Linked DNA regions of Tamandua tetradactyla. The main gene of each other region encodes a partner of the protein of the gene in region 2 in a complex. Links are inferred from orthologs where the notes say so. Each region holds a gene or a part of one and is shown on either strand. Other genes may lie near its edges.

Region 1 (7,887 bases), on a different chromosome or scaffold from region 2:
ATGGGGAGACCCAGAGATCAAGATAAAAATGAGACAAACACACTTAACCATGTATCTCCAAAATAAAAAGAGACAAGCACAGAAACAGGCAGAAAGAGGCACCAACAGACGTGGGGAAATGAAAAACTCAAGACAGAGCCAAAGATGACAGGATGTCCCACAGAGAAAGGCCAGGGGGAAAGGAGCCAGGAAAGAACTCTCCAGAGAACTAGGTGTGGGGGGGGGGGGGAGCAGCTGCTCCCCCCACCCCCCAGGGGCCTGCCAGGGAGCCCTCACCAGTAGGGCGTCCCAATGAAGGAGAGGCGTCGAGCCAGTGTCGCCCCGATCTGGGCCGAGATTCCAAAGTCAGCTGGAGGCAGAGGGAGAGACAGTGAGCTGGGGTCCCCTGCCCTCCCCCCAGGCCCCCTGCCCCCCTCACCAGCCACACTCACCCAGTCTGACCTCCCCAGCATCATTGATGAGGATATTGGCTCCCTGGAGGCAAGAGAGGGGTGAGAGACTGGCAGGGACCCTCTCCCCAGGCTCCCCTACCCGACAGCTCAACTACACCAAGCTCCCATCCCCTGGGGTCCCCATGCCCCCAATACCACCCCTCTGCCCCAGACCACCTTGATGTCTCGGTGTATCTTCTTCTGTGAGTGCAAATAGGCCAGCCCCTGGGGAGGAGGGTTGACAGGGGAGCTATGAGTACGGTATGAGGGTGGGGTGGGGAGCAGGGCCCTGCACCCACCACCCCCGGTCCTCTCCTTACCTGGAGCACTTCCCGGCAGACATAGCCGATCTGGAGTTCTGAGAGGGAGCCGGTCACTGCAGAGGCACAGGTCACCCAAGGCACAGCGTTGGGTGGGAAGCCAGGAAACCTGGATCCAGGTGTCCCCCGGCTCCAACCCACACTGGTTTGGGGAGTGAGGCGAGACAGAGAGCTGTCTAGCCACAGAGAAGCAGGAACGTGGGGAAACAGAGGCCCGGGGGAGACAGAGGAGATGGGTGCCTGGGGCCCTAAACAGACAGAGACCCTGCCATTGTGGGAGAGAACATTCCAGTGGGGAAGGGAGATAGTACATGAGAGAACCGAGCAAAATAGACCATGAGATGTTACCAAGTGGTGAGAAGCAAAACAAAGTAGGAAAGGACAACAGGAAATAAGTGTGGGGAGGGGTATGAAATTTTAGCCAGGGTGGTCAGGGACGGCCCCTCTGAGAAGATGGTATTTGGGTAACATGAGTTGCCCCACTCTGAGGAGAGTGAGAAGAGCAGGTGCAGAGGCCGGAGGCGGGAGTGGGCTGGTGGGAAAGTGGCGAGGTGGGTGGGGAGGAAAGCGGGGGGAGGAAAGGTCGGTCAGCTGGAGGGGGCCGGGATAGACTTGGGGACCCCTCCCATGAGGTCTTTGGGTAACTCTTCAGAGTTAGGTGATTGCAGGATGAGGTGAGGCAGAGATGCAGAGATGGAGAGAGACAGACAGAGGAGCAGGACAGATCCCAACTGAAGCAGAGAGAAAAAGAGATGATGAGGACACGTGGGAAACAGACATATCTAGAAAGAGAGAGACACAGAAGGGTGGAGAAGGAGGAGAAACAGACAGACAGTGAGACAGAGAAAGGTAGTCAGAGACCAGATATGACAGGCAGGCTGTGTGAGCCACTTCCTGTATGGGGGCCTCAGTTTCCCCTCCCTGAAGACTTCTGACATTTGAAGTCTTGGGCTGGAGGGAGTCAGGCATCAGAAATCCAGAGAGGTGTTCAGAGACCCACTCCACCTTCAAATTCTCCAAGAGTAAAGGGCAGCGTGAGAGAGAGAGAGATGCAGAAATTCATTCACTCATTTAACGAGTCCTTAGGCATCATCTACTCTGAGCCAGAAATGCGGAAATATTCAACCACATGGACAGAAAACTGTCTTGCTTGACAAGAAAATGCAGACACAGAGATGGGGGTAGGTGGAGAGAGGGGATCTTTGGAGGCAGAAAGATTTGGGCTGGGCTGTCAGGTCCTGGAGGGCAGGGCCCAGCCCAGAGCAGGGGGCTCAGTGTATGAACTATGGTCCAAAAAACCTATCCCAGGCAGAAGCAAACAGAGGGAGGCAGGAGGAGACCGAAGGGGTAGCCTGGAGGTACAGAGGGGGCCTGGATTCCTTCTCCCTCCTCTCACCCTGGTAGATGTCCTGGAGAGAACCAGCCCCGCAGAACTCCATGCAGATCCAGAGCTTTTGCAGCCTGCAGTGGTTCAATGACAATAATAAAATGATAATGTCAGGAACACTATTTGCAGGAGAGCCTCTAGGTCACTGTCTGTCTTATGCTAGTTCAACCAGCACACTAAGGGAACAGCAGTCATCTCTCTATCTCCCGTTGCCCGGCAGAGTGAAATTGTTCTGTCTCCATTTTACAGATAGCAAAAATGAAGAAAAAGAGAAGTGTGCTTTCAGAGTGAGCTGGACTCGAATACAGATCTTCAGAGCTCCAAACCCAGGGCACCCTCTGTTGTCCCATGCTAACCTAGGAGACAGGCAGGCATCTCAGAGGTTGGGGAGGTAGGAAGGGGAAAAGGGGCCCAGGGTGCCCCATCTGAGGGACAGTGATCATTGTTGGGGTATCTGGTATATTCATTTTTGGGTCAAGGAATTGAGGAGTTCATATTAATGAAGGAGAAAGTGAAACTCAGGGACTAAAAGGCCAGAATGATGACAGATTAGTTTGAAGAGACTCGAGTTTCAGGTTTAGTTGAAACTATGATGGGATCGTTTTGGGGACCCCTGGTCAGAAATGGGAGTTCTGAATTGGGGGTCAGAACAGGGGGTACTTTGGTCAGAAAACAGGTCTTGGGACTAGATATCAGTAGGGGTGCAGCAGTTAGAAATGGGGGTTCAGGATTGATGGTTAGGTTCTGGTGCTTGGATCAGAAATGGTAGCTCATGTTAGGTGCCCCAGTCAGAAATGAGGGTTCTGGTTTGGGGGCTGGACTGGCTCCCTAGGCAGGGCCCAGGCCCCTCACCAGAGATAGCTCCCATGGTAGGCCACGATGTTGGCATGCCGGCAAGTTTTCAAGATGAGGATTTCCTTCTGAAGGGTTGAGACATCATCGTCTGCGAGGAGGGGGAGAGAAGCAGCAGCAGCTGGAGGATGGGGCAATGGGGGAGGCCATCCTGGTGTCCCAGGAGGTGGGGGGAGGGGAGGAGGAGGGAGCTCCTGGGTCCTCATCTCACCAGGCTCCATCTTCACCATTTTCAATGCCACCAGGTCCCTCGTCACCTTGTCTCGGGCCTTGTAAGGGGAAGTTGGAAGTCATTAAGGCCCGGCTGGCCTGAGTCCTTCCTCAGCATCCCTGAGCCAAGGCCAAGGACCCATGCATACCTTTCCTTTCCCAGGCCTCCTCCCAAAGGTCACTGCTTAGAAGGTGATAGAGAAGGGAGGTGGGGGGTGGGGGGTGAAGGGCTCCTCACCTTGAAGACTTCCCCGTAGGTGCCGCCCCCCAGCCGTTGCAGCAAGTCATAGTGGTCCCGGGGGTCCCTATTAAAGATATCAGGGTCCACGAGGTCCATCCCTGGGGGCCGGAGCTGGGCCTGTGCCCAGGGGCCAGCAGGGCCTCAGGGCTGGAGTGCTGGAACCTCCCTCCCTCCCTATACACCAGCCACCAGCCTTGCATAGGCAGGCTGCGGCCTCAGGCTGCGGCCTCCCCCCTCCCCACTCTCGCTTCCTGCCCCGATGCAGGGCGGTGCAACCGGCTCCACCCCCTGTCCCTTGGGCCTTGAAAGCTGTGAGGGGCAGCTTGCCTTGGGACCCAGGGGACCCTGATCCACCCCAGGCGCCAGGGCTGGATGTAACGAAATGCAAATGATCTTTATTGCGACCGGGGGTGGGGAGGGGGGGGGCTGCTTCAGCACCTCCTCCCCCTATTTTGGGTCAGGGCCATAGCTGAAGCTCTGCTGAATGCTTGAGGGTTTGGGCACAACTTGCAGGTGGCAGATCTGCACAGGCCATGCAATGTACATGCCTGTACATTGGGAAACATACATGCACTTACGTAGTACTCGCCTGTGCTGTTCATAGACCTGCAGACGTAGTACATTCCTGTTTACCTGTGTACACAAATGTGGATGTACCCAGAGCACACGCCTCCATATTCACGCACATGGCCGGGCACTCGCACCCGTAATACGCATTCTAAACATACTTGGGGGGCTCGCCTTCTGCCCCAAGACTGGAGCCCCGTGGATAATGAACACACACACACACACACACACACACACACACACCAGGCCCCGTGGAGAATGAACACACACACACACACCCCAGCCCCCACCAGCCCAACGGGGCTCTCCCCCTGGAGCTGGGGTGGAAGGTGAGGACAGGGTTCAGGACTTCAAACTGGGGTCGGTCTCAGGGTTCTGCCTCAAGTGCCCAGGCCTCACGCATGGGCGACCTCAAAGCGTACAGCCTTTGAGAGTTACCCCAGAGGGAGAGCATCAACGTATAATCCCACAGGGTTTTGTGAATTCACCGCCACGAGCAAAACGACGAGCTCGCAAACCATCAGAGTTCCGTCTCCTTCCGGGAGAAGTACTTGAGCACAGACGCACGCGCTCCGAGACCTGGAACGCGAGGCCCGGGAAAAGCCTAGCCCCGCCTTCCCGTCCACAGAGGGCGCCTGCGCACTAGGGTAGAGTAAGCTTTTTGTCATGCTACTGGTCCAAGCGCTGGAGGAGCGAATGCGCACGCGCCATAAACGCGTGCTGAGAAGAAGTCACGTGGTAGCTGAAAAGCGTGGCGACCGCTGCAACAATCCTGAGAGGGGGCGCGGTGAAACAACAAAACGTATTTCCGCTTCCGCAACCTCTTCCGCTTCCGGCCCTTGAGGACGCTGCACGGGTTCTGACTTGGGTTCAATTGCTGGTGTGGGAAACGGCGGTAATCATGGCGATGTTTGAACAGATGAGAGCGAACGTGGGCAAGTTGCTCAAGGGTATCGACAGGTCTGAGCATGGTCGGAGGGAGCGCTTCTGGCCAGGCGGGGGGGAGGAGAGGATTTTCCAGAGACATCGAGGGGTAGTCAGGGTGCCTGGCCGGTTCTGGGGTGGTGTCTCCCCGTCAGTTTAAGTGTCTGTGTATGTGTAAGAATTCATTCTGAAGGAGGATATTTCTAAGGAAATAGCGCTGCGAAGAACCTAGAGGCAAGAGAGAACCTTGTCTATGACTCATCTCCCCCAACTTGATTGCCTTCAGGTCTCCTCGCCTTGTTCCTCAGCCTTCCCTCTCTCAGCACCCCCAGCCTCCTGTCTCTTAGCTCCTCATTCTCAGTGTCTTTCTCAATGCCTCTTAGTCTCGCTCCTCTTTCTACCTCATGTTACTTATTCAACATATGTTCACAGAAATATGTTCTGTCAGTGGAGGGCGATACTAGGGATCCAGCGGTGACCAAGAGAGCCGCTCACCCTGGGTTCATGAAGTTCCTGGTCCAGAGGCGAGCCAGAACCACAGTAGAAAGTGATCGCTGGAAATGGACAGGACTCTGATGGGGAAGCGAAGGCCAGGTTGAGTCTGATGGCTCTGATGCGGGGTAATACAGACAGGAGTGAGGGCTGGAGTGGGAAAGCACAGGCAGAGGTAGAGGATGGGATGGGGAGAACTCAGGGGGCTGTGGGAATCTGAGGTAGAGGAGACATCTGACTCCGCCTGGGTCAGGCGAGGCTTTTTAAGGTGGTGAAGTCAAAGTTAAGACCTGGAAAATGAGTGGAAGTAAAGTAAATGAAGAGGGATAGGGAAAGACTAGAGCCAGATAAGAGTGGGAAGAATGATGTTCCAGGTGGAGGAAACATGTCAAAGACTCTGAGATGAGATGAGCTTAGTGATTTTAGGAGTTGAAAGACTTTTTTTTTTTAATATATGTTGTATGGCTGGGTCACACTTCGTTATTTTTCCATGTGAATATCCCATTATTGCAGCACCCTTTGTTGAATTTTTGTTTGCTTATTTTTTTGATTGTTTATTATGCTTGTTTTTGGAAAGTGCATGGGCCAGGAATCAAACCCGGGTCTCCCACATGTCAGGCGAAAATTACACCATTGAACTATCCTTGCACTCTCAAAAGCCATTCATTTATTACAGTTAGGCTAAAATGTGGAGTGAGAGTCAGAAGTGGTGAAAGATGGAACCAACTACATTGCAAGGGCCCAGATCATGGAGGGAAAACATGGGGACCATAGAATGACTTTATGTAGATGAACCTGGTCGTATCTGTGCTTTAGAAAAATCCCTCTGGCTGTTGTATGGAGAATGGAGTCAGGGTTGAATCTGGGGAAAGGTGTAAGACTAGGTAGGAAAGGATGGAGCTGGAGCAGAGTAAGTGGGATTCTGAGAAGGGAAGGAAAGGGTGGGTAATAGAGATGTTTGGGAGGCCAAACACACAGACTGCAGGGACTGATGGGCTGAGGGGGGGTGGCGATGGGGCATCCAGGGATCCGTTGGGATCTGGAGCATAGCAGAAAGTCTGAGCTAGATTTTACTAGAGGTTATAATGCTAATTCAACATTGGAGTGTGCCAGGTGCTCAGTGCCAGATTTAGAAGGAAGGACTAAAGGGCCCCATAAAGTGGCTTCAGCTCTGTCTCCTTATTACTCACCTATTTTCTTCCTCTTTTAGATACAATCCTGAGAATCTGGCCACTCTGGAGCGCTATGTAGAGACGCAGGCCAAGGAAAATGCTTATGATCTGGAAGCCAACCTAGCTGTCCTGAAGCTGTGAGTATCTGCCCCCACTGCCACTCCTGTGCCAGCAGAACGGTACCACCCCCAAAACAGGGTAGGGCTGAGAGGGTTAACCTGTAAGATATGGCTTTTCTTGGTTTGCAAGACTAGGAAGCTACAGAAGTTGGAGGGGGGTTGGTGGGGTGGGGGGGGTACTTATAAAACATTAATTGCAAAACACATTACAAGATAGTATGTAAAATAAATATACAGTTTAACAAATAAAAGCAAATACCCATGTAATCAATCATATTGCAAAATCAAGTGCTGCCAGTGCCCTCAGAGCCCATGTGCTCTATACCAGCCAAACCCCTACCCCGATTTTGGTAACTACTCACATGGCCTGGTTTTCTGTGATAGTTGACTGCATATGCATGTATCCTGATCAATTTAGCTTAGTTTTCCCTGCTTTGAACTTAACATAAATAGAATTCTGCAGCATGATGTGTCTGCCATCTTCTGCTCAAAACTGGGATTGTGAGAACCATCCTTTTTTTGTGTGTGTGGTGTATGTGACTGCTGTTTGTTAATTATCATTGCTGGATAATACTCCACTGTGTGACTCTGTCCTGCTTATCTGTTCTCTTATTGATGGACATTTCAGTTCTTCCCTCTTGGGAGCTTTCTTGACATACTACCAGCTGTGTAATTGTTTTTTTAATTGATAAATCTTCACACACACATGGTTATTCATGGTATACAATCAGTTGCTTACAATATCATCACGTAGTTGTGTATTCATCACCATGATCATTTTCAGAACATTTGTATCACTCCAGAAAAAGAAATTGGAAAAAAGACCTCCCTCTCATTAACCACCAATATTTCCATCTACTCACTTTATTTTACTCCTTATCTGCCATTAATGCATATTTTTTTTACTCATCTGTTCATACCCTGGATTAAAGAAGCATCAGACACGAGATTTACACAGTCACAGTCACATTGTTAATCTTACATCTTTATACAGTTGCCTTGGAGAATTGAGGCTACTAGAACACAGCTCAACAGTTTCAGTTACTTCCCTCCAGCCACTCCAATATACCATAAACTAAAAAGGGATATCTGTCTAATGCATAAGAATAACCTCCAGGTAATCTCTTGATTCTGTTTGCACTCTCTCAGCCACTGAAACTTTATTGTGTCTC
Region 2 (7,142 bases):
TGTATACCTCTTATCCTGGTATGTGGCACCTGTCCAGTCTGCAACCTATTAAGAGCCATAAGGGAAGACAGAGAAAACATAGATCAACCAGTTAAGTTTCTTGTGATCCAGAAATCCCTGAAGTGAAAGGACACAATGTGATAGAGTATCAGAAGAACTGGTTCACAATGGCTTTTTAAGCACCCAGTTTTCCTATGATTACTCACAGAGGTTATAATCTTTCTCAGCTGGTATCACTATAAGGAACACAGGAGTTTGGCTTGTGAGAGAATAAAACTCAAATAGGAACTCCTGGAGAGAAGTACCGTCAGTTTAAAAGATGCAGAGACCATGGACAGGCAAGTACCTTTCCTAGCCGATCTCCTTTGCTGAATGGCTGGTAGGGCATATCCCGAAACTGCTCAGGAACTGCACAGGGACCCCAGCCTGAGGGGTTGTCCTGAATCACAGGAGTCATGAACTTCGCCATGTTCTAAAACTAAAAAATACAGAAAATGTGAGTTGCTACATGAAGGAAGTTCCCAAAATACAATTCAAAAAGCAACACACAATACAGAATATTCAACTGTGAAACTCTTACCAGTGTTTTCTTATAAATACTCTGAATAGTTAAAACTCAGAAGACTACTAGCCTAGTTAACATCTTTGAATTAAGGATGCACCTTATATTTGATGGTATGTCATAGCTTAACTTTCTTAATGTTACATAAAATGGTACTTTTTAAAATTAATGGTGTCTCAGATTTGATGAAATATGATAATATTTTTTTCAAGTGTGGTAACCACATTTGGTTCTTCCTTCACCATGGCATAGAACACTTCCCTAAGCTTCAGTCCCTGCATCTGTAAAATAAATGGAATCTGTTTTATCTGTATCATTGGATCACTGAGAAAGTCATATTAATTAACACATTTGAAAATGCTGTCTTTGTAAAATGCCTTGCAATTACTATTTGACTTGCAAAAATATATTTCTGAACAGAGTACTTAGAAAAAAAAAGAATCCTTCAGTATACCTTGAAATCTGACTTTCTTCTGTTGTCTAGTTTTCTATTATTGATGCAAATCCTACATGGAGCAAGTGGAAACAGAGCGAGGTAAAAGGGCTGCCAGAAAGGTGAGGTCACCAAAAACTTTAGGGCGGGGTAAGGGGTGTGGTATGTATGATTCTTTCGTTTTTATTTCTTTTTCTGGAGTTACGCAAGTGTTCTAAGAAATGATCGTACTGATGAATATACAACTATGTGATGAAACTGTGAGTGGTTGATTGTACACCAAGTATGGAATGTTCATATGTTAAGAATGTTCATGTTTGTATGTTGTTTTGTCAATAAAAATATTAAAAAAATAAATTATGTATGGATGAAAAACTATTTACAAATATTATGGGCACTAAGCCTTGTTCTTAGTGCTTGACATGCATTGATTCACTACATCCTCCAAGGAATCCTATGAAGTTGGGGCCAGTGTTATCCCCACTTTCTAGATAAGAAAACCAACGCTAAAGCCGCAATATTGATATTGATAAGGAATTTGAACACAGGCAATCTGGCTTGAGTCCATACTGTGCTGCTGTACCACCACTGCCATCATCATCATAATGCCACAATAGGTCCCCTCAGGAGATCAAACACCAGGGACTCTACGGCAGATGCTTGCCTTATAGCTCTCATCAAAAGCCTATGCATTTATTCATTGTAACTCCCTGACAACACTCGGAAGCATTTTCCCAGAGGAAAATTCATCACACAAATATCTCCTGGAAGCTGGAGAGCAATCAAAGAGCACAGCTGTACTGAAATTGGCAAACTGTCCTCATGGCCCCAAGACGGGGAGGTTGAGGGTTCCTGGGTGACAGCAACAGGAAATGAACCTGGGAGCATCATCTTCCAACTCTGAACTGAAGCTATATTACAGGGAGAGGAGTTCAGAAGGAAAGGGGTGGCAATCGCAACAATTCACATCCAGTAAGTATTTCTTGAGCTCCTAATTACATGCCAGGAAATGATACTAGATACTTTATCATCAGTAATCCTCACTCTCCCAATTTTAGAGAATAAAAAACGAGAAGCTCAGCCAAATTCCACGCAGCTGATCTGTCCATGGTTTCAAAATAAATTTGATTTCGGGGGCTGTTTGCTGCAAGTCCAGCATTCTTTCCATTCTATTATAGATGGACAGCAGCCAGGAAATATCTGGGGCTTTCAGACCAGACTTCTCCAGGCGATGGGAAGTAGTACCTGGGCTTCAGGCAGTGTAAAATAGTGAGAATAGAATGAGTACGGAAAACTGAGCCGTTCAGGCAAAACTATAAGGGCAGCTGTACTGGCCCCAGGAGCAGGATAGGGAGGCATCAACAATGCAATCAGAAGGGTGGTTGGGAGGCCATAGTGTTGCGTAGATTACCACGGTCACCACAGACCGTACGCCATCAATCCCCGAGGACAACTGCATTCTACCCTCCCATTTCACAAGGAAACCAATGAACTGTGAGATCCTCAAGGCAGGGGCCGAACACCGCTCAGGATGGCACCTCCAGTATTAAACTCATAGGAACTCAGATCACTTTTGAAGGGAGACCCTGAGATCCAGCAGGTTTGGGCAACAACCAAATTTGCCTAGCCTAAGGCAGCTAAGCGGAGCCTAGAGCCAGGGACCTCACACACAGGGCTGGGTCCCCTCAACCCTCACTGGGGGCTGCTGAAGACGCGGCGGCAGGAGCCGACGTAAAAGAGGTCTCTTCCGGGAGGCCCTGGAACGCCGAACCCAGCCCGGGCCGCTTCCGGGGGCCCGCAGGGTCCCACGGAAGACCCCGCTCACCTGCAACGGCCTCGGCCGGCCCAGATTGCGATAGATGGCCTGGGTCAGAGATCGTGCCACCGACAGCTCTCCCAGGAACCGGGAAAGGAGGAAAGATGCGCGCGCAATAGCCGGCGCCGTAAACAAAACCGGCGCTGTCGTAAACTGTGCGCCATCTTCCTCCGGATTCGGCAGAAGAATGCATGAGCCGTAAAGCTAAGGCAGTCCCGGAAGTTCGTCACTGCTCTTTATGAGGTGTCGGCGTTATTCTCCGAGGCGCCTAGACGCAAGAGGGTGGTTACAGTTACGATCAGACGGCGTCCGGTGACGCTCAGCATTGCGACGTGGCAGCCGTGCAATGGAAGATAGTGGCTGCGAGAGGCTGACAGACGCGCTGTATCCCACAGTGCTTCAACCGTCCTCTTCGGTACGCAGTGATCCGCGGCTCCTCCGCTTGCTCTAGTTAATCGTCTCGTTTGATTCTCACAGCAAGCGGGAGGAGCGAGTTTATTAATTTATTATTATTAACCTCCCCTTTTACAGTTGCGGACGCTGAGGCCGCCAGGTTCATGGTTCAAACGCTACTTACACAGTTTTAAACTTTATTGCTCGTCAGAGGTTTCTGGAGCGCTAGTTTTAATAAATGCAGGCTACGGATCTCACTTTCGTAGATTGTTATTCAAGTAATCTAAGCAGGAACCCAGGAATCTGCAATTTAATTAGCAACTGTGAGTCTGAAGTGGGGGACTCAGAAACACTTTACATTAGGCAAGTGTTGTCCCTTCTGCAGCTCCCAGCCAATAGATTTTGTCCAGGAGTCTTGAGCGGTTTCAAAACATTCTTCAGAAAGAAGCTGGGTGTGACTTTATTAAAATCCCAGATCCTTTTGTGCCTTGCCTCCTTGGTTTCCTGATCATACAGTTTGGAAGACTGTCCTTCATTGAAAGACATATCAGACCTTCATCTCTCTGAGCCTCAGTTTTCTTATAAGTAAGAAGGGGCTGATAATAAGGGGATACTGTGGGGGTAAAAATAGAGAATGCATGTCAAAGTACTTAGTAATTCCTCTAACCTGTTGGGGAACTTGGACAACTTATTTAACCTCTTTAAATCTTACTCATCTGGAAAATGAGAATGTGATAGCAGCGCCTATCTCCATAAGTTCTCTCCCAGTTGCCCTTGTTCTAGTTTTTCTGATTTTTGTTTGTGACAGCCAGTGAGTGGTGTTTAGGGCAAAACTTGTAGTCATAATTGGTAGCTCCTTTTCCCTTTGCATTACGTTCATTAAATACTCATTATTCAGCTTCCAAAATATATCTTAAACTACCATCTCTAGCCTGCAAACTTGGACTCCCACTCTTGCTTCCCTACGGCCCATTCTCCACATGGTGGCTAAAGCATCGTTCACAACCTTCTAGTGACTTCCCATTGTGTGCTTAGAATGAAATAAGAATGTCTTCCCATGGCCTGCCTGGTACTTGGTTCCCTTTCCACTTCATATGCTGCTGTTCTCCACTCACTGCTCCAGCTGCCATGGCTTTTTTGAACCCTGAACCCATCAGGCAGGGCCTCTGCACTTGCGTTCCTTCTACATGGCACACTCTTCCACAAATCAGCTCATGGTTGGCTTGGTCCCTCCATCTATGTCGCTACTCCAGAGTTGCCTCCTCAGAGAAGTCTTTTCATACCATCCTTTCTAAAATAGCTACTTTCCCCTTCATCCCTCCTCCTTCTCTGCTTTGTTTTCTTCATAGTTCTCATCACCATGTGAAATATTTGTTTCTTTGTTTAGGGTCTGTCTCCCCTCTAGAGTTTAAGCTACGTGAAAGTGTGGGCTTTGTCTGTCTTCCCTAGAGGAGTGTCTGGTAGTAGTATTTGTTGAATTGATTGTTGAATGGATTGGGGTTTTGGACAATTAAATGAGAAAATGCATGTAGCACATTACCCTGGGCACATAACTAAGCAATCAATAAATGCTGATATAAAATTAATATCAATAGTAAATTGAGTGTGTTCTGAAATATAAGGGCAAATGTATTTTTATTGATTCGCTTGGATCGTGTCTTTTCTTTTTTTGCTGTGGGCCTCTGGGCCATCTGCTGCAGCTTCCTTCCATGACTTGCCCAGTGTTTAATAATTTTCCCCATGTTTTGGTTCAGATGTCCCTGCCCACACCAGAGGGAGGAGTGCATGGAGTGTCCCATCTCGTTCTTTGTAGTGGGTCCCTGGATTTGGGTGAGAGATCTTGCCCCTGTTCCTCCTCCCAGCTGAGACTCCTGCTGCCACTATTTCTGCCTCTCCTGGTGCCCAATCTCTAGATGGCAGGAGAATGACCCTCCTTTATACTAAATCAGAGCATGCCTCATCTTCCCCAACTTCCCTGCCCTTAAAACCCTTCGGTGGCCTACCATTACTCTGAGGGTAAAGTCATAAACACCATTCCATGACCTACAAGGCCCTAAATGATCCTTCTTCCCTCTCCCAACTCAACCCTACTGTCTCCCCTTTCCCTTACTAGCAGCTTCCTCTTTCTGGAACACATCCAAGCCAGTTCCTACCTTTTAACCTGCTGTTCTCTAGGGCCTGGAATGGATTTCTCCTAGATTCATGTAGGCCTGTGTTCTTATCGAACAGGCTTTGTGTATGTGTGTGTGTGTGTGTATTTAATATTTTTATTGACAAAACAACATACAAACACAAGCAGTCTTAACATATGAATATTCCATACTTGATGTACAATCAATGCCTCATAATATCATCACATAATTGTATATTCATCACCGTGATCATTTCTCAGAACATTTGTATCACTCCAGAAAAAGAAATAAAAAGAAAAAACTCATACATACTACACTCCTTACCCCTCCTTCTCATTGACCACTAGTATTTCCATCTACCCAATATATTTTAACCTTTGTTCCCCCTATTTTTTTCCTATACCCCTTACCACTCTCATTGATCACTAGTATTTCAGCCTACTCAATTTAACACTTGTTCCCCCCATTATTTGTCCATATCTTTTACTCATCTGCCCATACTGTAGGTAAAAGGAGTATCAGATACAAGTTTTTCACAATCACACAGTCACATTGCAAAAGCTATATCATTACACAATCATCTTCAAGAAACATGGCTACTGGACACAGCTCTACAGTTTCAGGCACTTCCCTCTAGCCACTCTAACACACCTTAAACTAAAAAGGGGATATCTATATAATGCATAATAATAATCTCCAGGATAACCTCTTGACTCTTTGAAATCTCTCAGCCACTGACACTTTATTTTGTCTCATTTCTCTTTTCCCTCTTTTGGTTGAGAGGGTTTTCTCAACCCCTTCATGCTGAGTCCCAGCTCATTCTAGGGTTTTTGTCCCATGTTACCAGGGACGTTTACACTCCTGGGAGTCATGTCCCATGAGGAGAGGGGGAGGGCAGTGAGTTTGCTTGCCGTGTTGGCTGAGAGAGAGGCCACATCTGAGCAACAAAAGAGGTTCTCTGGGGGTGGCTTTTAAGGCCTAATTTTAAGTAGTCTTAGCCTGTCCTTTGTGGGGATAAGTTTCATATGAACAAACCCCAAGATTGAGGGTTTGACCTATTGATTTGGTTGTCCCTAAACAGGCTTTTCTTGACCACCCTTCTGAGCTGCTTCACTCTGCCTCATTAACTTTTTTTTATATTGTTACATTGAGCTTGTCGCTTACCTGGTACTTGTACCAAGACTTGCGTTAACTTATTTAATCCTCATCGCAACTCTGTGAGATAAGGACTATTATTCTCCTCATTTTACAGATAAGGAAGGTGGGGGTACAGTAAGATCACACTACATGCTCTAGGTCAAACAGAATACATGGCAAAGGTGGGGCTCAAACTCAGAAGACAGCCTGCCTCCAGCATCTTCCCATATCCCATTACTGCTTTGTTGGGATCCTAGCATTTATGTCGATCAGAAGTTACCGTACATTTATTTGCTTAATTATTTATTGTCTCGTTAGAAAGTTAGACTCCTGAGAGCAGAGGTTTTCCATGTCTTTTGTGTGGTGGTATCCCCAGCACCTGGAATCATGCTTAGCACTGGTAGGTTCTTGGGAAATGTTTGTTGGATGCATGAATGAACTCCCGTGCATCCATGGCAGATCCTTCCACTGCTGCTCTTGTCATATGCCTTGTTTTATTACTTAGGGGCCACCTAGATCTCACCCCCACCCCCAGTCTCTGGACTCCTCCAGTGTGGGGCTGCATTATTTGGGGTTGAACTGTCAGGGCTCAGCACTCCACCTGGCACCCAGAGTATGTGCCCAGAGATGAGGCCTTTAGATACTGTTGCTAGAGACTGAAAAAACAAA

The links. Proteins that work in one complex are often made in the same cells at the same time.
Region 1: EIF3D (region 2) and EIF3K share a complex: the UniProt entries of both Homo sapiens proteins name them as parts of the eukaryotic translation initiation factor 3 (eIF-3) complex. The link is inferred for Tamandua tetradactyla from reciprocal best matches to the Homo sapiens genes EIF3D and EIF3K.

The regions. Positions count from the first base shown.
Region 1 is NC_135342.1:25,378,787-25,386,673, reverse strand, and holds the start of EIF3K (eukaryotic translation initiation factor 3 subunit K), read left to right. Parts: upstream 1-4,810; 5' UTR 4,811-4,909; coding exon 4,910-4,968; intron 4,969-6,634; coding exon 6,635-6,733; intron 6,734-7,887. Other genes in the region: MAP4K1 (mitogen-activated protein kinase kinase kinase kinase 1), read right to left, coding at 277-349, 432-474, 609-656, 752-807, 2,148-2,212, 2,991-3,081, 3,202-3,259, 3,439-3,505 and 1 more. UniProt on the Homo sapiens protein: Component of the eukaryotic translation initiation factor 3 (eIF-3) complex, which is required for several steps in the initiation of protein synthesis.
Region 2 is NC_135333.1:28,871,146-28,878,287, forward strand, and holds the start of EIF3D (eukaryotic translation initiation factor 3 subunit D), read right to left. Parts: upstream 3,003-7,142; 5' UTR 2,821-3,002; intron 479-2,820; 5' UTR 470-478; coding exon 347-469; intron 46-346; coding exon 1-45. UniProt on the Homo sapiens protein: mRNA cap-binding component of the eukaryotic translation initiation factor 3 (eIF-3) complex, a complex required for several steps in the initiation of protein synthesis of a specialized repertoire of mRNAs.